3 linked regions of the Mytilus edulis genome follow. The protein of the gene in region 3 purifies or fractionates together with the protein of the main gene of each other region. This does not show direct contact. Links are inferred from orthologs where the notes say so. Each region holds a gene or a part of one and is shown on either strand. Other genes may lie near its edges. The genes, in order: proteasome subunit alpha type-5-like, importin-9-like and akirin-2-like.

What was found.
Region 1: the proteins of akirin-2-like (region 3) and proteasome subunit alpha type-5-like purify together in Homo sapiens (affinity purification with mass spectrometry; 3 studies listed by BioGRID and IntAct, with this or other methods). This does not show direct contact. The link is inferred for Mytilus edulis from reciprocal best matches to the Homo sapiens genes AKIRIN2 and PSMA5.
Region 2: the proteins of akirin-2-like (region 3) and importin-9-like purify together in Homo sapiens (affinity purification with mass spectrometry; 3 studies listed by BioGRID and IntAct, counting the BioPlex papers as one, with this or other methods). This does not show direct contact. The link is inferred for Mytilus edulis from reciprocal best matches to the Homo sapiens genes AKIRIN2 and IPO9.

The regions. Positions count from the first base shown.
Region 1 is NC_092344.1:63,107,979-63,115,207, reverse strand, and holds the start of proteasome subunit alpha type-5-like, read right to left. Parts: upstream 3,043-7,229; 5' UTR 2,928-3,042; intron 113-2,927; 5' UTR 101-112; coding exon 5-100; intron 1-4. UniProt on the Homo sapiens protein: Component of the 20S core proteasome complex involved in the proteolytic degradation of most intracellular proteins. This complex plays numerous essential roles within the cell by associating with different regulatory particles.
Region 2 is NC_092344.1:77,449,985-77,457,547, forward strand, and holds the start of importin-9-like, read right to left. Parts: upstream 3,076-7,563; 5' UTR 3,049-3,075; coding exon 2,919-3,048; intron 1-2,918. UniProt on the Homo sapiens protein: Nuclear transport receptor that mediates nuclear import of proteins, such as histones, proteasome and actin. Serves as receptor for nuclear localization signals (NLS) in cargo substrates.
Region 3 is NC_092353.1:61,385,668-61,393,249, reverse strand, and holds the start of akirin-2-like, read right to left. Parts: upstream 3,010-7,582; 5' UTR 2,753-3,009; coding exon 2,566-2,752; intron 267-2,565; coding exon 1-266. UniProt on the Homo sapiens protein: Molecular adapter that acts as a bridge between a variety of multiprotein complexes, and which is involved in embryonic development, immunity, myogenesis and brain development.

The sequences.
Region 1 (7,229 bases), on a different chromosome or scaffold from region 3:
TTACTTTAATTGCTTCAATGGCATATTCTACTTGGAATAATCTGCCTTCTGGTGAAAATGTGTTCACACCTCTGTCATACTCAGATCTTGTCAAAAACATCTTTTGTTATCTCTGAAATTACAAACAATGAATTATTTTATACAAATAAAAACTTCCAATTTCAGTCAGTAATGTAAGTAACTTGTGTTGGATGTATTTTGAAAATTCAGATTTAGTAAATCATTGTAACAAAGGAGTATGTTCGATAAGGTCCTAAAATGGCCCACTTTTTTAGCGTAAATTTCAAATTCGGATTTATTGACCAATATCACGATAAATTATAGCTAATACATTGACTAGATAGGATATAAGCCATTTTGTTTAAAATTTAACATTTCTGCGTTTCATTATGACGTCACAAGTTGTACTCATATTGATTTTTCACGAAAAAATCAATGAAAATGGGTAAATTTCCAAAGATTATTTGACAGGAAACATAGAGCGCATACGTCGACAACAAAGATCTTTTAACATAATGTTTGTGAAGACATTTAACATGTCTTATTTGAATATTAAGCTTGTCGACGCCTGCGCTCTATGTTTCCTGGTCCTTTATTTGGTTGAAATCCCGCTGATTTTGTCAAATTTCACCAAAATCCCTTATCTTGACCATTTTGGAATGTAAAAATCGTTGTATTAGAATTAAACTTTGACAAAAACAGCTCTGTTTAACTTTTGTTACATGTCTTTAAGGCAACTTAAAACAATTATTGTCTTGTAACCATGAACTTTATAATTGGGGCCAAATATGGCACTTACCGAACTTACTCCTTTACAATATAATAATAGTTTCACTTCTGAATTTAGTAGCTAATGAGTCTTTCATATTCTGATAATACTATTGATATCAGTGTTATGGTTACAATGGAGTAACTTGACTTCTGCATAGATATTGTTTTATTTGAAAAGGAAAGTGCATACAGGTAACACATGTTTCCTTTTATGGTTAAATATGCAAATCTGCATTGTAAATTGTAATAAGAATGTGTAAAAACAATGCAGGCAATTGTGTATTAAACATGACGATGGTTGATGTAGTTGTATTATTTCTACTCTAGGATGTTTTTTTGGCACTATAAGATGAGGATTCATCAATTTCATGTACATTACAGAGATTTCAGTGAGTCAATAATTTTTTCAATGAACCAATTAACATGATTAATGACAACGACTTTCTTTTATTTTTATTATCATAGTACTGTTCATGGTGTTGTAGATTAAATAAGCAATACACTTCTCAGGATCTTGAAAAAGGGCTTTGCAGCATTTCTGTCTATTGTGAATCTGATGAATCTGGGTCCGTTCGCCCTGATTCAGGTTCGCCCTAGTACCTGTTCGCCTTGGGTTCATTTGCCCTGATTTTTATTTTTTTCTTATTGTTGTCTAGTCGCATAATTTTAAGTATTTGAACAAAATGTTTTAAAGTTTGTTGAAAAATTGACAGAATATTTATATTGCCGCAATCAATTTATCATTTTCCCTTTGATTTTCAGAGAATACTGGAATACAATGTATTTATCTTTATTGATATTTGTTTATCAAATTATAAAGAAACCGACATGTTTATCACCCACTTGACATGACCCTCTGATGTACCAGGCTGTTACCGCGAGCAGTTCGGGCTATTAGATAAATCGCATATGTCACATGATTGTTATCAGTGACTGGGTCATTAAAGTTCAGGTGTATTTTTAGTAACAGTGCAGTGCATAGGTGTTCATGATTTGGAAAAAGATTTGACGCGCAATTTCAAAATCAACCGTCTGTCTATGGTGAAAAAAGATAAAGAAATGACAAAGTTATGAGGGTTTAAAGGAAAGTTAGTGAGCGATTTATATTCAACACTACATTGCTTTAAACAAAGATTTTCGCTTCACCTGTCAATTTCTGTTTATTAGAATTGGCAGGTAATAATCATAGAAAATATACGAATATGCAATGTACTTTAGTTACGGTGATGGGTAACGACTGGAAAGAATATTTGCAATTGAAACATAGAGAAATTTATCGGGAACAACGTAAAAGTGACTTTCTGTTATGACTGTTGATATTAACATTGACGGCAATGAGACAGATATTCGTTTTATTTCTATTGGTAATAAGTTTACTTTTAACATAAAATTTTAATTTTTAATTACTTAATAAAAAATATCTAAAAAAATCTGATTAACATTTCAATAATTGTATATCCAGTCAGTTTATGACACCTCGGGTGTTTCCGTTCTTACTCGGGTATGTAATTAGGACAAAATCTCCCTCTGTGACAGAGTCGATCTCAACTAATTAACAATTCAATTCAATTCAAAGTTTTATTGCCATATAAACTATACAGTTTGTGAACACCCACATACAGAAAAGTCGGTAATATTTTATGTGTAATTATCGTCTTTCGTCCTCTCTCCTTCTAATATAACCACCTTGGGCGAACGGACTCTACGGGCGAAAGAACTTAGGGCAAACGGACCCAGGGCGAACATGTTATTAGGGCGAACAGACCCGATACTGAATCTGATGATGCCTTTGTTTTTGATGGAGTGTCAGTGCGACTTAAAAAAATCTATGTTTAAACCATATATATATGAAGCCCCAAACAGGAGGGATGGTAACTGCTTCCTTATATATAAATCTGACTTAGCAAGGTACTAGGTGGGTGGCTATAATCTTGTAAATACTATATTTTGAGTAAGATGATGGATCATGATATTGCAGTTTTGCAAAACTTGAAAGTTTTCATTTATTTATTGATATATTGAAAAGGTACGAAATATCATCAACGTATAATTTCAATAAACATTTATAAAGAAAAAAGATTGTTTCGTGTTGCTTCTCTGAGTCTCTTTTGTTTAGTGTTAAAAGATGTGTTTAAAATTGTGAAAAATGAACTCACCGGCAGTTTGCAACTAAGGATTGACTAACTAACGAAATCGGACGACGTACCAAACCTGAATTTCTCCGGATTTGTTAAAAAATTAAAACAGCCACGTGTTTTTCGTCAATAAGCGGCGGAAATGTTTTTGCTGACGATTTTAATTTAAAAAGAAATAAAAATGATGTCATTTCAATGCCAGATTTGGACATTTAATCCATTAAAACGCTAATATACAAATACAAATGCAAATATATCTTTTTTTATCATGGCACAAACTCAATAACGATCATTACTATACTATATATAAAAATATTAATTTTCGCGAACCATTTAGGTCACGGAAATTCCAAAATATGGCATCAGTAAGGAGAGTTGTGCAAATAATGTGAATACACAGAACCCCCATCCAAATTATCTTTAGCTAAAAGTATTCATCATTTTCTATTTTATATGTACTAACAACATTCCATTTTTCTATTATTTCGATTAAAATATTCCAAAATCTGAGTTAAAAAAAGTCAAATGCCCAAAATAAACATTGTCTGATTGGTTGAAGTACTGTGGCGTCAATGATAAGCATAGCAAGCCTCGATGTAAAGCACACGCTTCACATGAATAAGGAGAGTTTTACAAATAATGTGAATACACAGATCCTCCATCCTATTTATATTTTGCTGAAAATGTTGCAATGTTCATCATTTCTGTTTTGATTCTGCTAACAACATTCCATTTTTTCTTTAATTCCGATTTATATATGTGGAACCCGCAATAAAAATAGATGGCCTCAATGATTTAAACGCAACGCAAAAAATTCCGTTGACCCTGAATTCAACGGATCGATATTAGCATCATCACCATCAACAAAATGTTTACCGTTATCTTTGTGAAATTTCAGTTATATAGTTCTTTAATTAGAGAAATTTTGGTAAGTATTACTTATTAATGTTAAGGTTCTACTGATGTGCTCCTCTAGACCTTTTTGACGGTCCGTTTTATCCCATTTATCTCAATATTATCTCCGATGACAGTAATGTCAGAGACATATAATACAATTGTATTATATGTCTCTGGTAATGTCAACCCGACCTATTCGTGTCAAAAGTGAAAATCGCATCGATTTATTGAACTAATTTCTTCTTAAACTGTGCATGCATTATTTCTGTATTATATGATAACCAATCACATTCACGTTGCATGTTTGCATGAAAATGGTCATGTATTAGTGAATTGTAAGGGCGATGCAACTTGAGGTCAGTGCGCGATCACGTGACATTATTATTTGTAAACAAATTTAAAACATGCTCCCCGCGTAACACGTGTCTGAATTATCCTTTCAAAGTGTTATGAATCTTTCAATCACTATTTTATGAAATATTTCTAGGTTTGCATATCAGTAGTCAAAGTGAATTAAACGTAGTTCTTAGTTGTGTTTTTTTTTATATAGAATTAGAAGGTAAATCTACATAAGGGGGTCTCATTGGGGGGGGGGGGGGGGGGGGGGGGTGGTGTTCTGATCCCAGATCCCACTTACTGTTTTGTCAGATTCCCATATCCCACTTACACTATGTACATGAGCAATTTTCATTTTTTTGTCATTTCCGGGGTCCTGCAGAACCCCATTTCCCGTTTTCACGACAGACCTCATTTCCCGTTTTCATGACACAATAATTTGACTTTCACGTTTCACGCTTGCGAAAAATTGTCAATATTGGTCACGCTTAGACCCAATGAGAACCACACACTAGTCAGTATTTAACTTCACCCAAAAAGATGACTCAACTTCCCTCTATATTTAAAACCTGCATACTAATTTAAATAGCATTTGCTCCCCTTGAACACTACTTGGCCCCTTCCGTGTCATTTCCCTTTAAATTTGCTGAAAAGTCATACTTTAAGTCCATTAACAGTAACGGCTAATATTTGATTTTACCATCTTAATTTCAATTTTCATATTGAACACATTTGACCATTCAATATGAGTTCCCATGTATTTTTGTCATATATGAAGGAGGTTTTAGGTCATGTTTTCCTAAACACCTTATTGCTATTTGTCTGTCTGGATTGTTAAAACCACAAAATCAAATATTGATGAATATGCAAGTTTTCAACAATCCCGGAACATTAACAAAGATGTGTGTGAGAGGGTGAAAATTACCCTTCTGATGTACTGATATTTTTAGCACCCCAAGTGAGAATCTAACTCAGGACTTTCAGCACTGTAGCCATCGGTCTTAACCACAAGATCACGAACTCACATTTGATGAACTAATTTCTTCTATATTAACTGTACGTGCATAAATTCTGTATTATTTGATAACCAATCACATTCACGTAGCATGTTTGCATGATAATGGGTTCTGTATGAGTGAACTGTAGTGTATTGCAAAATTAATGCAAATTGTGACGTCAGTGCGCCTTCACGTGACATAATTATTTGTAACCAAACCGGCTTCTCATGTAATGTAACGGTTTATTTCGTCCTCTGTGATATTTTATCCTGAGGATAATTTGTCCCGGTAATTTTTTTCCAGGCATGTTATTTCATTTCACAGGTTGATTTTTCCCAGAGGAGTGAAAATCTATCAGATTTCTGTGTTATGCGGATAGTATGTACGGGTATATATTTGCCGTATTATATTTCACAGAACCGTGTGAAAAAGAGTCCCATTAACTACTATGTAAGTTACTCTCAATCAATATATACCTGACTATAATTATAAAATGTTTACAAAGGTAAGCAACTGTCTAGGGCCAGGTAAGGGAGGGGAAAAATTAGTATTAGTACTATTTCGCAGAACGATAAACAGATGCATAGACAGACCAAGGGGGTGGGGGAAATTTAGCTTATGACATATATGTAAGAAATCATTGAAGCTTGATGGGAGTGGGCAACCCTCTGGTCCATCAGAGCCCCCACACCTTTTTGAAAAGTTCTGGATCTGCCACTGAGATTTGCAGGTTTTCTTAGTAAAGATACCTTAAAATATCACAAACTGTGTGCTTTCCAGACCATAGTTTACATTTTTTTCATATTTTGCCGTGTCAAAATGACCTAAATTTAAAGGACAGTATATAGACCCAAAAATGGTATATCACATTCTACACATCAAGATTTTAGCAGGAAAGACTGCCATTGGAGTTTTTAACCATTGTGACTTTTTAATTTGATCTACTCCACTAATTAAAGTCGTTGAAGTAGAATATTTAATGTAGGTTTGTCCACATTTTGGTATATATTAATACATGTTTAGAAATAATGTTGAGCCTGTTCCTAGATGCCTGTTATAGACTTCAATATTTATTGTTAATTGAAAATAAATGGAATCAATTCTTTCAGAAAAGTTTAATTCTATGGAAATGTATCCCCCCTTTTATAAGTTGAAAAGGCTACATAGAGGTCAATATACAGTCTCCAACAGAAAACCAAAAAAGGAAAAATAAAGTGAATTTTGGAGAATTATTAAATGTACATGCATTTGAAATATTTAAGATATATTGTTTCAATTTTTTAGTTCTAGGTTCCACATAACTACCATTTTAGAAAACGATTTCAATGCTAAGTCTATTAGAGGGATATTTGATTTTCATTGGTTGTAAATATGGAATCTTATTCAGTGGCAAAGGAAATAGACACTGACAAGTCTTAGATAACATTTTATATAGTTTTGAATTTTTCTTCGTCAGTTGACTAAAATTAGATGGAGGTGTGTTCTAATTTCCAACAGAGGAGCAATCAACCTATATCAATATGTGCATGAAGCAAATTGATAGTTGCTAGATACTGAATGATTATATCCACAATAAAGGTTTAACCTGTGCATATATACTTAAAACAAGATAAAAAAAGTCATGTCTTTTTCAGGACTTCTGAATCCAATCATGTAGTATGGAATGTTATTGAGATATGGTTTGGGTGGATGGATGGTCATGAAGGACCTGTAGTACAAAGTATATCACTGGATTTAGCTCTTTGTCTAAGTGTATTATTAAAGTACCTTGCTTTGAGCTCAGTTCATTGTTATGCAATTCATTCTTTGTGAAATTAAGATTTGACAGACAACTCTAATGGACAAGGATTTGTCAAAGTAGTATCATCTCTATGTACAATGTAAGTATTCAGGAGATAAAAGCATTCTATTTTGATTTGAACCATACATTTTATAAAAAAAAGTGGGAACAAATTTACCGGACAATGCTACTCCCACTACTAGCAATATGATGCTAGGTTGTTTTAATACATCTGTATTGCCTGCTGATGACTCGGCCCTGAGTGTAAACGGTCCTTCAATTAGGAGGGAAAAAAATTATAAGGCCTATCCA
Region 2 (7,563 bases), on a different chromosome or scaffold from region 3:
AGCTTTATGTACACATGTAGACAATCAGAATTTGTATTTTGGGACGAAAATATAAACTAAATTGTTTAAATAATTTATTCAGACACCCCAAAATTCTTAAAGTGCATTAGTACAATAGGTTGATGGTCTGATGTACATGTAGCTGCGGAACCGTAACTCTTATGGTCCTTTTTTATTTTTTTTTGATTTTGCGGACCATAGAGCTACGGATTTTTCCTATTTCAAAACGTTCGGAATTGCGACCCAGGTTCAGGTCACACTTATTTCCCAAAAAATTATTGTTTATAATCAATGCAAAGCTTGTCAATATATATAGTTCGTTTTGTCAAATATTTTTCTAGGATATGACGTACCTATTTATGTTTGAATATTCATTTCCTTAACACAATTATCTAATTATTTCCATTTGTATACATTCTCCGCCTATTTTGTTCGGCCATATTGAATCTCGTGGTGACGTCACGAAAATCAAGAAAAGATAACTCAAATATCCTCGATCTCCTATGTTGGAGGTGAGGAACGCCTACGAAAAACAAGAACAGACAACTCTTACAGAAAAACACGTGTTGGTTTGTTTACTTATTTCTTGGCGAGAATCGAGTGTTTATAAGACTTTACAACATTTATACATACTAAATATTTAAATTGCTTGAAAGAATTATTATTTCCGTTAGTATCTAACTTTAATTAAACGTACTTTCATTCAAAAGGTCATGAAAATAAAATAAAAGACAACGTAAATAAACTAACACGTGCTTTCCTATTAGAGTTATCTTTTCTTGATTTTCGTGACGTCACCACGAGATTCAATATGGCCGAACAAAATAGGCGGAGAATGTATACAAATGGAAATAATTAGATAATAGTGTTAAGGAAATGAATATTCAAACATAAATAGTTACGTCATATCCTAGAAAAATATTTGACGAAACGAACTATATATATTGACAAGCTTTGCATTGATTATAAACAATAATTTTTTGGGAAATAAGTGCGACCTGAACCTGGGTCGCAATTCCGAACGTTTTGAAATAGGAAAAATCCGTAGCTCTATGGTCCGCAAATAGTCAAAAAATAACATAAGGACCTAAGAGCTACGGTTCCGCAGCTAATGTACATGTAGTCCTGTCTGGTCTTCACATGTAACCTTTGCCATTTATTTCAACTTAAATATGTATAATTTATGAAGTTGAAGCATACATTAGGGAGTAAAAATTTGATTTATAAAGGTCTGAGAAGGACTTACAAATCATAAGACTAGACCAAAAATGCTACAGGAAAATCTAGGATAATCTACATCGGATATCGACCATTTTGACTTAATTATAAAAAGCAGCTTGTATAAAAATTTGAATTCTTATCAATTGGTTGTCCCTAGCAGTTAGTCCATGATTACTCTGACGTCCAATGGCTGTTTTGCTAGACATGCTGGGGCCGTTGGACGTCAGAGCTCGTCCCATATCAAAAAGTGGATATTTGCCCATCCAAAATAGAAGTGCTGTTTCGTCGCTTCTGGTGCCAATGGACGGACTTGGAATTATATAAATCATGTTATTTTGTTCATTTTTCATTTATCTCTTCATTTATGTAAGTTTGGTATCCAGTCATTCCGGCCCCAAACCGATCCGGTCCAAAGTCGATCCGGCCCAAGTCGATCCGGCCACAAGTCAATCCGGCCCCATAATAAAATATGAAATAAACTATATTAATTTTGGAGGAATTTGTGACAGATTTTAACAGTATAAATGGAATTTGCAAAAAAGTGTCCGATGATGGATGACAACAGGTAAGTGAAGTATTGGAAGTACCAGTTAAAGAACTATTTTAAATCGATACACAAATGAGTGTTATTGGTCTGTTTGTATGGCAGCTTCAACATATTTTAAAATATGAAGTTATTTTCCACGATAACTTTAACTTTGAATGTTATGGCGATTTTATTTTATTTAGTTCACACACAGAATAGCTTAATAAATATTTACAGTCCACTGGAACCTATAAAATTTAACTCATCATAATGATTTGTTTAATTATTAGCAGTCTTCACGCCGAGTGGCAGCCCAGACAGCCCAGGCTAGTAAAATTGCTCTGGGGCCTGTGAAAATCATATCTACAGGCCAACCGAATCTAACTAAAATTTTTCAAAAGATTGAGATCTGGGCCTGTAGATTTAACAGATCATCGTGAAGACTGTATTAGTCTATAATTGTTTTGTTTATTCAATAATTGTCTGATGATTGTGAACTAAGGTAATGCCACTCGTAATCACTTAAAAATCTTGATTAATTAAAGTTACGTAAGCAACAAGGTCGTTATAGTCTGATCTTCTGGTTAGTGAATATAATAATAATGAATTGTATTTTGTGATATCAAATATAGTCAATTAAACCGTTGGTTTTCCCGTTTGAATGGTTTTACACTAGTAATTTTGGAGCCCTTTAAAGCTTGTTCTTCGGTACTCAATTATCTTGAAAACTTGTAATAAAAATATAGTTGTTTTATACTCATCTGAATATTTTTTTTTTACCGTACACTTTTTACATTATAATAAAAACCATAAACATTTATGAATTACAATTAACATATATCCTTATTTTTATTACTTATAAATATATTTTTATTGGGTCCGGATCGACTTTACATATGGGCCGGATCGACCCGAAAGCTGTAAGTTTCACCTACCTGCCACCCTTTATTTCATATTTAGACAGTTTTCAAGAGTGTTTGTATGCTTATATAATGCACTGCATTTGTACACATTATTGGCTCCTTTACACCATAACCCAAAGTAGATCATAGTTACGCTCCTCAGAATGAAACCTAATCATACAACACATCAATGTGATATCAAACCTGTTGCCTTTAGTATCAGCGTTTTATTCTACCCTAAACTAATTTTATTGAAAAATTGAATGAACCTTCGGTAACTTCAAGGGCTTTAACTTGTTCTTCCCCAGAAACTCTAAGATCATGGTCGGGAGACAACACAGAACCCAAACTTTCAACTAATGCTTCTTTCAATGACAGATTTCGGTCTGCTCCCGCCATTTTGCTAAATTTAAGTAAAGTTATGTTTGGCGGGTTACACTAATGACTGGACCGAATGACAGGACCGAATGACAGGACCAAATGAAAAATGCTAATAACTTTTTCATTTCTCAAAGGATTGAACTCAAATTTGAAATATAACAAGATTTCATCATTTAATAAATAGATTTAAGAAAAAAAATTTAAAAAATTGTAAGAAACTTAAGAAAACGTGACATGACCAACTCTGATAATGACAGGACCAACATCGAGAATGACAGGACCAAATAAAAATGCTAATAACTTTTTTATTTTTCAAAGGAATTATCTCAGATTTAAAATATAAAATGGTATGTCATATTTTGAAACTAAAATGTTATAAAAAATATAAATTTATTTTCAAAAACTTTCGAAAACGTGACATGACCATCGCTGACTGACATGACCAATATCGACAATGAACAGACCAGATGAAATTGCTAATTTCTCTTTTATTTCTCAAAATATTTTTCTGAAATTTGAAATATAATAAGATTTCATCATTTTATACATAGATTTAAGAAAAAAAATTAAAAAAAATTGTAAGAAACTTTAGAAAACGTGACATGACCAACTCTGATAATGACATGACCAACATCGACAATGACAGGACAAAATAAAAATGCTAATAACTTTTTTTATTTTTCAAAAGAATTATCTCAGATTTGAAACATAAAATGATATGTCACATTTTGAAACATTTATGTTATATAAAAAAAAAATATTTTCAAAAACTTTCAAAAACGTGACATGACCATCGCTGACTGACATGACCAACCTCCACAATGACCGGACCAAATGAAATTGCTAATTGTTCTTTTTTTTCGCAGAATATTTCTCTTAAATTTTAAATTACCATTTCATACATAATATAAGAAAAAGGTATAAAAAGCTTGCTGAAATGTGACCTGGTTAACGTTGTCAATAACAGGACAATCCTCGACAATTAATGACAGGACCAAATAAAAATGCTAATTATGCATAACATTTGTCAGAATATTCCTCTCAAATTTAAAATAATGACAATTTAGACCATTTTGCACATCATATTAGAAAAATATATATAAAAAAAATGTATTGAAAGCTTGCGGTGGTGTGACCTGACCAACATCGGCTACTAATGATCTGGCCAATGAAAAAATCTAAATTTCTTTCTTATTTTAATGAAATTGTTCAGTTCTGATCCATAATTAGTAAGATTATATCTTATAAATACAGGAAAATATATTCTATGGTGGTTAAAAATCTTGACCTAGCTACTTAACGTATGTTGGCAGAGAGTCACAGGTCAAAAAGACACGAATTATCACTATATTTAAGAAAGAGATCTTGAAATGTTTATATGTTATTACATATAATCATTTTATATAATATATCAGTTCATTAAACTATAGATAAATTCAGATTTATTGAATTATCATCATAATATTTCTTGACATAATGAAGCCCAATTTAAGCCACGTGGAAAGGTATCAAACCTTTTAAAGTAGTCCGTGAAAATGTTAGATTTAGTGTATTTTATGAAAATATTTAAAACTACCAAGAAATCATGCATGCAAGGGCCGGGCACACTTCAAGAAATGTTTATTTGTTTATTATTACTATCAAGATAGACCCTTCATATACTCAAACATACATGGAAATAATTATTTACTGTTCTGAAAATATTAATAAAACAACGACATGAACTATTATGTGATTTTAGTTACTGTCATCGCAATCTTTATTGGATTTATCAACTTATTTATGGCTTATGTCACACCTTTTGTTTGTTACCTTATAATTATTTTCAGACGTGTCAGATTATGACCGGTAATTAATATACAAAATATTTTGAATGAATGAATGAATGAGAAGTGCAATATTTCTACAACTCGGTTTAATACAATATTCCAATAAAAAAATCAAATAACGCGGTGGGCGTTCGCAGACCTAACGTTTTCCCTCAGTTAGCTTTTAATTTTTCCCTTATTTTCTAAAAACTTTTAAATCATTCAATCTTAATGTGTGTTTTTTAATTATTATTATTAATTTCAACCAGAATTTCTATAGTAGGAACATAAAAAAAAATCTCTTTAATTGATATATTTTAAATCTGACATAATTTTCTTTTCAAAATTAAAAAAGGTTTGTCCTGTCATTGTCAGCGTTGGTCAGGTCACATTACAGCAATCTTTTAATATTTTTTTCTATGTTATTCCTATCTTTATGTATAAAATGGTTAAATCTGATTATATCTCAAATTTCAGAAAAAAATTTTTTAGAAGTAAAAAGTAGTTAGCAATTTCATCTGGTCCTGTCTTTGTCGAGGTTGGTCCTGTCAGTCTGCGATGGTCATGTCACGTTTAAACTTTCTATATTTTTTATAACATTTATTTTTTAAAATATGACATATCATTTTATGTTTCAAATCTGAGATAATTCTTTTGAAAAATAAAAAAGTTATTAGCATTTTTATTTTGTCCTGTCATTGTCGATGTTGGTCATGTCATTATCAGAGTTGGTCATGTCACGTTTTCTAAAGTTTCTTACAATTTTTTTAATTTTTTTTTCTTAAATCTATGTATAAAATGATGAAATCTTATTATATTTCAAATTTCAGAAAAATATTTTGAGAAATAAAAGAGAAATTAGCAATTTCATCTGGTCCGGTCATTGTCGATATTGGTCATGTCAGTCAGCGATGGTCATGTCACGTTTTCGAAAGTTTTTGAAAATAAATTTATATTTTTTATAACATTTTAGTTTCAAAATATGACATACCATTTTATATTTTAAATCTGAGATAATTCCTTTGAAAAATAAAAAAGTTATTAGCATTTTTATTTGGTCCTGTCATTCTCGATGTTGGTCCTGTCATTATCAGAGTTGGTCATGTCACGTTTTCTTAAGTTTCTTACAATTTTTAAATTTATTTTTTTCTTAATCTATTTATTAAATGATGAAATCTTATTATATTTTAAATTTGAGTTCAATCCTTTGAGAAATGAAAAAGTTATTAGCATTTTTCATTTGGTCCTGTCATTCGGTCCTGTCATTCGGTCCAGTCATTAGTGTAACCCATGTTTGGCGGAGAATTGTTTTCGTATTTTTGTTTTATCATTTTCGAATAAAAAAATAAATGCGTATTTTCTGTGTATCACAACACATTGAAATATATTTCAATTTCAAATTTATAACCAGCTCTATATTTAAAGGATAAAGTGAGATGTATAACCCGACAGTTACGGGAAGATTGTCACCGCTGAGAATCATTTCGGATAAAACCAAAACCGAGTATTTTATTCACACAGCTAGCGACAGGAACGTAACTAGTCTTTGCGTTCTCACAATAATACATTATATTTCTTAAAATCAATTATTTTTATTGGTATTTAACACAATGTTTTCTTGTGCGGAAAATTTAACGAAACATCATTTCATATTCACATGTGTTCTTCTTAAGTTTATTTCCGTTTTGACTTCTTTTAGTTCTATAACTGTTTACTTGTTTTTCCGTAAGGTCATCTCAAGTACAGTACTTATAATCATTGGCCTTTACCTGGTCTTTTGTAAGAACGTTCCTAATCAAAGTAGACCAAAAAAAGCGTTTCGGACGGAACAAATTTGTAAAATGCTATTGTGTCAAGTATGTTATATGGCAATGTAAGAGTAAGGTAGACCAGGTAGTAAATCAGATGAAAGGATATCTATCGCTAAAAAATTGTATAAATGGATAAATATTGCCGAAAAATTAAACATTAGTGTGTGACGTTTATTTTTTTTTATTTTTTTTTGCTCAACTTTTGAAATAATGAAAATATTTTATGTGGACATCAACACAAACATTGATTAAATACTCATTGTATTAGGGGAAAAGATATAAATAATCTGGCTTCCTATGGGCAAAAAAATACGCATAGCTTAGAGTTTGATAGACGTCGTAAGTTGAGAGGAGAGAAATTACCGTTTCTTTGTGGTTGTCACTTACTTGTTGACGACACATATCTTTAAGAATAAGAAGATGTGGTATGATAGTTATAAGAAGATCATATGGTATGATAATTATAGGACAGCTCTTAACCGGAGAATAAATTACGTAATAGTACAATAGATCATCGTACGACCTTCAACAATGAGCACAGCTCATACCATATAGTGAGTTATTAAAGCCCTGAAATGACAAAATGTAAAACAGTCCAAAAGAGAAAAGTAACGGCCTCATCTATGTACAAAACAATCAACAACACACTAGTATACGTATAATACACATCAACAAACGACAATCACTTCATCACAGCCTCCTTGCTTGAAACATACTGAATCGGATGCTGTTAAATAAATTTGCTGGGGCCAAACTCTTTACCTAACCTTAAACAGTGGCGGAACAGTATGCATGGTATAGCATTAGAACAAATTATAAAAAAAAATAGTTGAAAAGGTCTTTACTCATGAGATTGATACAGAGCACAAAATAAACTACCAAAAACACCAAAGACCGAAGGGCAGAAAAGAGAA
Region 3 (7,582 bases):
CTGTTCTTCTCTGTCTTTCAGCATGCGCTCACATATCATACTGACTTGCTTGAAGGTAAACAATGGCATTTCTCTTTTGTTTGGAGATAATGCACTGAACATGTTGCCAGCGGAAGATGATGGTGATGCTGATCCATCAATGGACAGGCTTGATGAAGATTCATGTGGTGGGGACATGTTTGGTGGTGTCTGAATACCAGAATACTGTAGTTGTTTTCTTCTGTGCATACGTTTAATTTCATTTCCAATACTGGCAGCAATTTGTTCTGAAAAAGGCATTCAGTATATATATGAAACAGGGTTCTTACTATGAATTTTTCAGGGTGAGTGTGTACTACATGTAATTTCATATGACTGAGGAAAACTCAAGTTAAAGACAGGAAAAAAAAAAAGGTACAACATATGTAGAGGTGGACAATGGTAACCTTAATGCCCCCTCTGTTACAGTGGGGGCATTAAAATGCATGGATGGAAGATATTTGTCAATTTTGCTAGCAATCATACCTTCAACAGTCTGCACCAAAAACTTTTTCATCTACTAGTCCGGACACTAAATATCAAAACTTGTCCTTATATGCCTATATAAAATTTTGAAAATTTTCACTAGTCTGAATCAATTTTTACTAGTCTGGGGCATCGGACTAGTGGCTAATGGTGCAGACTGCTTCAATATTCTTTTAATAATTTTATCTGGTTAGATAACTTTTCAGCTGATTTTTAAGAATTGTTTTATTACATATGTTCAATGTTTTGGCTTACAATGTACTTAAGGTTCATCATAACCTTTTGGCTAATGGTGGCCGTATTTACACCACAAATTTTATTCTGAATACAGACAAACCTATACACCTGCAAAAGTTTTAAGGGATGGAAGGAACTAGATATATAAATTTTAAATGCATTTTGGGTTTTAGAAAAACTTTACTAGATTTGCTATTCATTAATTTTTTTTCTTTCCTGCAGAAGGTGCCAAAATAAAATAAGTTCGAAAATGTTTGAGAATCTCCCCTCATATAATACATGTTGTAAGTAAATGTAGTACAGATTTAAATGGACAAAAGATATCTGCAGACAATAGGTGATTAAAACTGTGTAACTGAGTGGACCGTTTCAAATGAAACTTGGGTGTTTGTTTATTTGCTATCTTCTGCAGACTGGAAAAAACTGAACATAAAAATCCATTTAAACATTTAAAGTTTTAAAATTTTCTGAAACCTTTACAACATATAACTGTTATGTATCTACATGTAGGTTCTGCCATGCCTTAAAACTTTCCTAGATGTACCAATTTGTCTGCACTCGTAGTAAATTTGGAGGTGTAAACATGGCCATATTTTTCAATTTCTTATGACATGTATGATGAACCTTAAGCAATGTAAAGAATTAATTTTTGAAGCCCCTAATTTATTTGTCAAGCCTTGACTAGTATGGAATTAGTTAATTTAGTGGCAAAGAGACACTTCAGCACAAAGAGGTATTAATGGCACCCTGAACACTTCCAAAGAAAAATCCTGTTGGGACATTTCAGGACCTAGACAATTTTGCTCCTCATGTCATTTTGGGACTGGAAGGGGTCCATTAATTCTGAATTTTTTTTTATTATTTTCAAGATGTTCTCTATTCTATTTATTCCTTTGTTCTCTTTTCTTGAAATTCTCTACACCCATACCTGCCAACTTTTCAAAATGCCCATGGGGGTTTTGCGTGCAAGATGGCTGTCATAGTCCTAAAAAACCTTCAAGGGGGCCTGCAAATACATTTTAATGTTGTTTTTTGGCTTCTTCATACCTTTATAAGCCTAAAGTCATTGTAAAATTAGTTGTTTTATTTAAATTGTGGACAAAACTGCTCTTTCAAAATTTCAATTTGGGAGCCTCCATGGGGGAAATCCCCCGCAAATAGTGAGTTGGCAGGTATGTACACCCCATTATTTCAGACTCCTTAATTTTTACCCATTATTCTGTAATCCTCATCCAGACCTCCATATATTTGATTGAAGATATGAAATGAATATTCTAAGTAGTCATAAGTTTTTTTGCAAACAGCTTGCATTTATTTACTACATGTACATGCATTTAGATGGTGGTTGTTTAAACTTCCAAATTTCAGACAAAACATCTGTAAATATTATAAATTTTATAAAATTTATATTCTGAATGTTATTAATTACAGGCCCTAGTTCATAACCCCTAGCAATATTATGTAACATCAAGTAGGTCAAGAAACTTGATGGAAGGCCATTCTATTGAATTGATGAGATGAGCAATAATTATTTGAAGAGCTCAACTGGAAAATAAACAAAGTGGTTGTTTTCCAATCAGAGGTGTCCTTTTGACTTGGTGCCGAAGAGGAAGTGTCAGGAATAATTTCTGGTGGTATGTCTGAAGTGAAGCCGAGGTGATGTTGGATTGGACTGTTTACATGGTATCAATGCCCCAAGGGATATAGAAATGCCATAATAATACATGAAAAATTCTTATTGTTTACTTCTCGGCATTTTTAATTTCGATTAAAATTCAATGCGACTCCTTTGATTACACTTTACAGCCTTTGATAATATCTTACCCGATGTCAATTTCTGACCAACTTCTCCAAACGGCGATGGATTTACTTGATGTTGCTTCGTTGGTGGGGTGGACGGCGACATAGTCATTGGCATACATCTACGTCTCTTTGGTGTTGTTTGTCCAGGACTGTGTATAGGATCGAATTCAAGATTCCTTTTCAAAGTTAATGTTGCTCCGCAAGCCATTTTTTATGACTGTAATTTAGTTTCGATAGGTGCCCAATAAAAATTGTATATGCAACTGACCTTCTATAAACAGAAGGTCAAAAACGATTCCCAGACGAAAAATAAATGTTTAAAGATAATATAAGAGGATAATATTGCTGTTTGGCTTGAATTTGAAGCCGATGATTGTTGATTTTTTTTACCGGATTCACTACCATCTAGTAAATATGGCCGTTTCCAGAATCAAAACAATCAAGCCTCGTTTTCAACAAAATCATAAAATTATTTGAACATGCCCCGAACTTGTCCTATAATACCGATATAAGAAATCGTTTCTCGTTACGGGCTGAAATTCTTCTTCCTTCCTGCAAAATTGCAAAAATTATTTATTTTCGTGAAAAAAATATTAATCACCGTGAAAATCTCATAATAAAGGTATGCCAAATAGCAGTTTGGTATTGTTGTTAATTACAAATAATGTAGGTAACTTTTCTTCATGTCATCGTGCCTGTAAACACACACGCACATTATATTTGCGTTGCTGAACTTTTCACCGACTGCATATTAGTTGGCATAGATGGTAGAAATAGAAATGAGAATTTGTTCTCGGTATTACGTTTCATTGTATTTATTATCATTCGTTTTTTAATAATATGACGCGTCTGAAGCCATCGCAATAATGTCCCTTTCTTTAATAGAATTATTCCTTGTTTTTCCAATATTCAAAAATATAACAAATCAATACAGGAACAGGAGGAATACTTGAATTACCATAAGATTTTAAATCGGATCGGGTTGTAAAAACATTAAGTTGGTTTAATAACATTGGGTTCCGCAAAAAAAAAAAAAAATCATCAAAGAGCAGTTTGACTACAAAAAAATATTTAAAAATAACAACAACACCACATGTCTTTGTCTCACTAATATGATATCATGTGGGTTTAGTTTGTTTTATTTTGTTGTTGTCGAAAACCTATTGTGTTTTATTTCCTCCTCAAAATGGAATGTCTTTATCACTGAATGAATCGAAAAAAAAAATTCCAAACGAAGTATTAAAAGTCGTACTGATCTTAATGAAATTGTTTCCCAAAAAATGGATAGGAGGAGGAAATAAATGGAGAAATCAATGAAAACTGAATATTGACTAATAAAACAGCGTAAATGAGATCTAGGTCAGATGAAACAGGTAGAAGGATTTTAAGTTTTATATACAATCGTTCCATATGTCAAATATTGTGACCACATTTTAATTGAATGTCATAGTGATGCATCAGCTAGTAGAACTGAGAAGAGCAAAATCCCTAATTTTTTCCAAACATCACAATACATAAACCAGTATGCACATTTTTTTTGTGTTCAATTATTTATGCAATTGTATTTTAAATGTAAAATGTATAATTACTTTCTAATTAAAAAAAAAACTTCGTACAAGTCAGATACAAAACAAAAGTAACAATCAAAAAGCCCGTGACAGGATAGTAATAACCAGCCATATAGTTTTTCTGAACTTGAAGTCGTCAAGGTCCTCGATTATCGTCTCGGACTTGACGTGACTATTCGTGCAAAAAAAAAAACTATATGGCAACGGTTTTTACCAGGCTGTTTTAGTTACCTTTGTTCTGTATCTTATACTTAAATTAATTCTGTTTTGAGAAATACTTTATAGTTTCCAACGGAAAATTATTCCTTTCAGTTCAAACGAAAATTGTTATTCTAACCTAGACGTCTTTTCCGGCTTATTTGTACTTTGTAGTTTCTGTATTCAAGATCCACGAAAGAGTAATAACAGAAATCGTATTTTAGAAAAGGCAAGATACATTTTTTGTTCATGTAACAAATGGTTGAAATAGACGACATGGAAACGACTTATCATAGCGAATTTTGGAGAAAAAAAATCGGACGTATTGGTGTTGGTACAGAACGAAGAAAACTTATACCTATGTCGGTTCAATTGCCGGACGGAACCATAGCCCATGGTCGTGAAGCAGTGGTTTCGGAATGGAAACGTGCGTATTGTAGTTTACTAAACCCAGAAACTGTCAATTCAGAATACGTAATGGACCAAAGACTTGATACCGAGATTGAAATGAATAATGAAATCACAAGTTTTGAAGTAGTGAACGCTGTGCGTAGCCTAAAGCGTAACAAAGCCGTTGGCGTGGACGAAATACCGGCAGAAATCCTTAAAGTCCCAAGTTTACTGAACTTTTTACACAAACTTTTTAACAAGTGTTTTTCGAGTGGAGTTATCCCTACAACGTGGACAAAGGGAATTATAAACCCAATTCCGAAATCGTCAACATCAAATCCGAAAGACCCAATGAGCTACCGAGGTATAACGTTGGTACCAGTGTGCTATAAACTATACTGTCATATACTTAATAACAGGCTAGTAAAATGGGAGAACGAAAATGACATTCTTCATGACAGTCAAAACGGATTCCGGAAAGGGCGCAGTACAATTGATCACATTAAATCGTTAACATCAATAATCGAGACTAGGAAATTGAAACGTTTATCGACTTTCGTGGCTTTTATTGATTTTCGTAAGGCATATGACGGGATAAATCGAGCGATGTTATTCCAGAAACTATTCGACCTTGGTATATGTGGGAATATTTATAACGCTATTTTGTCTCTGTATTAGTCCGTGGAATGCTGTGTTCGCATTAATGGACATCAGACAGATTGGTTTAACGTTCAATGTGGTCTTAAACAAGGCTGTTTATTGTCGCCATTACTTTTCAACTTGTATATAAACGGATTAGCTACGTATATTGATTCACTAGATATTGGCATTGACATCGATGGGGAAAAGGTGTCCATGTTACTTTATGCCGATGATTTAGTGTTTTTATCAAACACAGAAACAGAGCTACAAACATTACTCGATGCATTGGATTTATGGTGTACCGATAACAAGATGACAATAAACGACAATAAGTCAAATATAGTCTACTTTCGGCCAAATTCGTTCCCGAGAAGTCCAACAATCTTTCACTGCGGAAACCACATTTTACAGACAGTAGAACGTTACACATATTTAGGCTTAGTTTTTACAGAACACTTGGACTATAACGTCATGGCAAAATACGTTGCAGCAACAGCTAGTCGAGCACTTGGACTTGTAATATCGAAATACAAGGGACTTGGAGGTTTACCTTTTGGAACTTTTACAAAGCTGTACGACTCTATGGTTTGGAGGACTATTAGTTACGGTGCGGCAGTATGGGGAGATAAGTCATTCTCGTGTATAAATGCAGTTCAAAACAAAGCAATCCGTTTTTTTCATGGGAGTTGGTCGTTATACCCCAAACGTTGCAGTAAATGGAGATTCGGGATGGACACCACCGTTTGTGAAACAGTGGCGGGTAATCATAAACTATTGGAATCGGTTACGATATATGGCTGAGAATAGAATAAATAAGAAAATAGACAATTGGGCAGAGCAGAATTTCAGACGTCATCGAGTGTGCAAAAACTCAAACTTTAGAATTTATAGTCTATTCGAATCATGTGGTATAGCGAACTTGTTTAATGACACTGATATTGATAAGCAGCAAGTTAACAATGCTCTACATGTAAAACTTATGTCCGACTTTAAACAGAAATGGAATGAAGATTTGCATAAAGACACTACCAGACGAAATGGACCAGGAGGTAACAACCTACGTACATATAGAACATTTAAACAGGATGTATATACAGAACTTTACCTAGATAAACTTGTAATACCATCGCACAGAAGAGCATACTCTCAGTTTCGCTGTGGTGTTGCCCCAATACGTTTAGAGACAGGACGCTACGAGAGTCATCCAATTAATAGATCAAAGAACTTGTTTTGTTTGTGACGATAAAATTGAAAACGAGGAGCATGTATTGACTGAATGTCCGTTTTATACGACGATCTTAGAGACGAACTGTATAAGTTTTTAAACTTTGAAAACGAAAATTTTAGTCTATTGCCGAATTCTTTGAAACTTTCATTTATTTTAGCGAGTGATAATATTAATGTGATACAAAAATGTGCCAAAACCTGCAAGCTTATTTTAGACCGTAGACGACGTTTTTTATACCGATAATTGATGTAAATATGTTTTATGATTTAACTTTATTTTTGTTTTATAATTGCTTTTTGAAAATTTGTAAATACTAGTTCCTTTTAATCCGTCTCTCATAATTCTTTTAGAATGGCATTAATAATTTTAAAAAAGGTTTACTTTTATAATGTGAAATGTGTATACTGTATTATTGATGGTGAGACGTTAATAAATTATTATTGTATTGTATTGTAACATTTTAATAGTTTAATTAATTACCTGTCTACCTATCATTTCAACTTTTTTAGATTTTTAATATTAAATTAGAAATTACGAATCTACAAATTAGATGGAAATGTTTTTAAGTGCCCGACTGAGTTGGCGGCATGTTGTATCATCAGGTAAACACTAGTCCGGCCGTGCTTCTGTCCGTCCGTTAATACTCTAATGTCTAAAATAATAATACGAAGATGTGGTATAATTGCAAATGAGACAACTATCCACCAGTGACAAAATGACGTAGAATTTTATCGTAGGGCCTTCAGCAAGTAGCAAAACGAATACTAATAAAACTAATAGTTTAGAAGGTAGTCAGTGTCATATTTCATTTCATTTTTTTTAATTTCCAATAATTCTGGCAAAGAGAGACAGAGGAAAAACAAACTTTCTTTTTTCAAAGCGGAGTAGAAGAAGCTTTCGAATAATATTACATTTCACGGGCGGTGTTTCTGAAATCTTATTTCAAAGCTGAGATTCTCGTTTAGTGGGGCAAAATAATGAGACCTGACAAATACTGGTGCTGGTGATAATA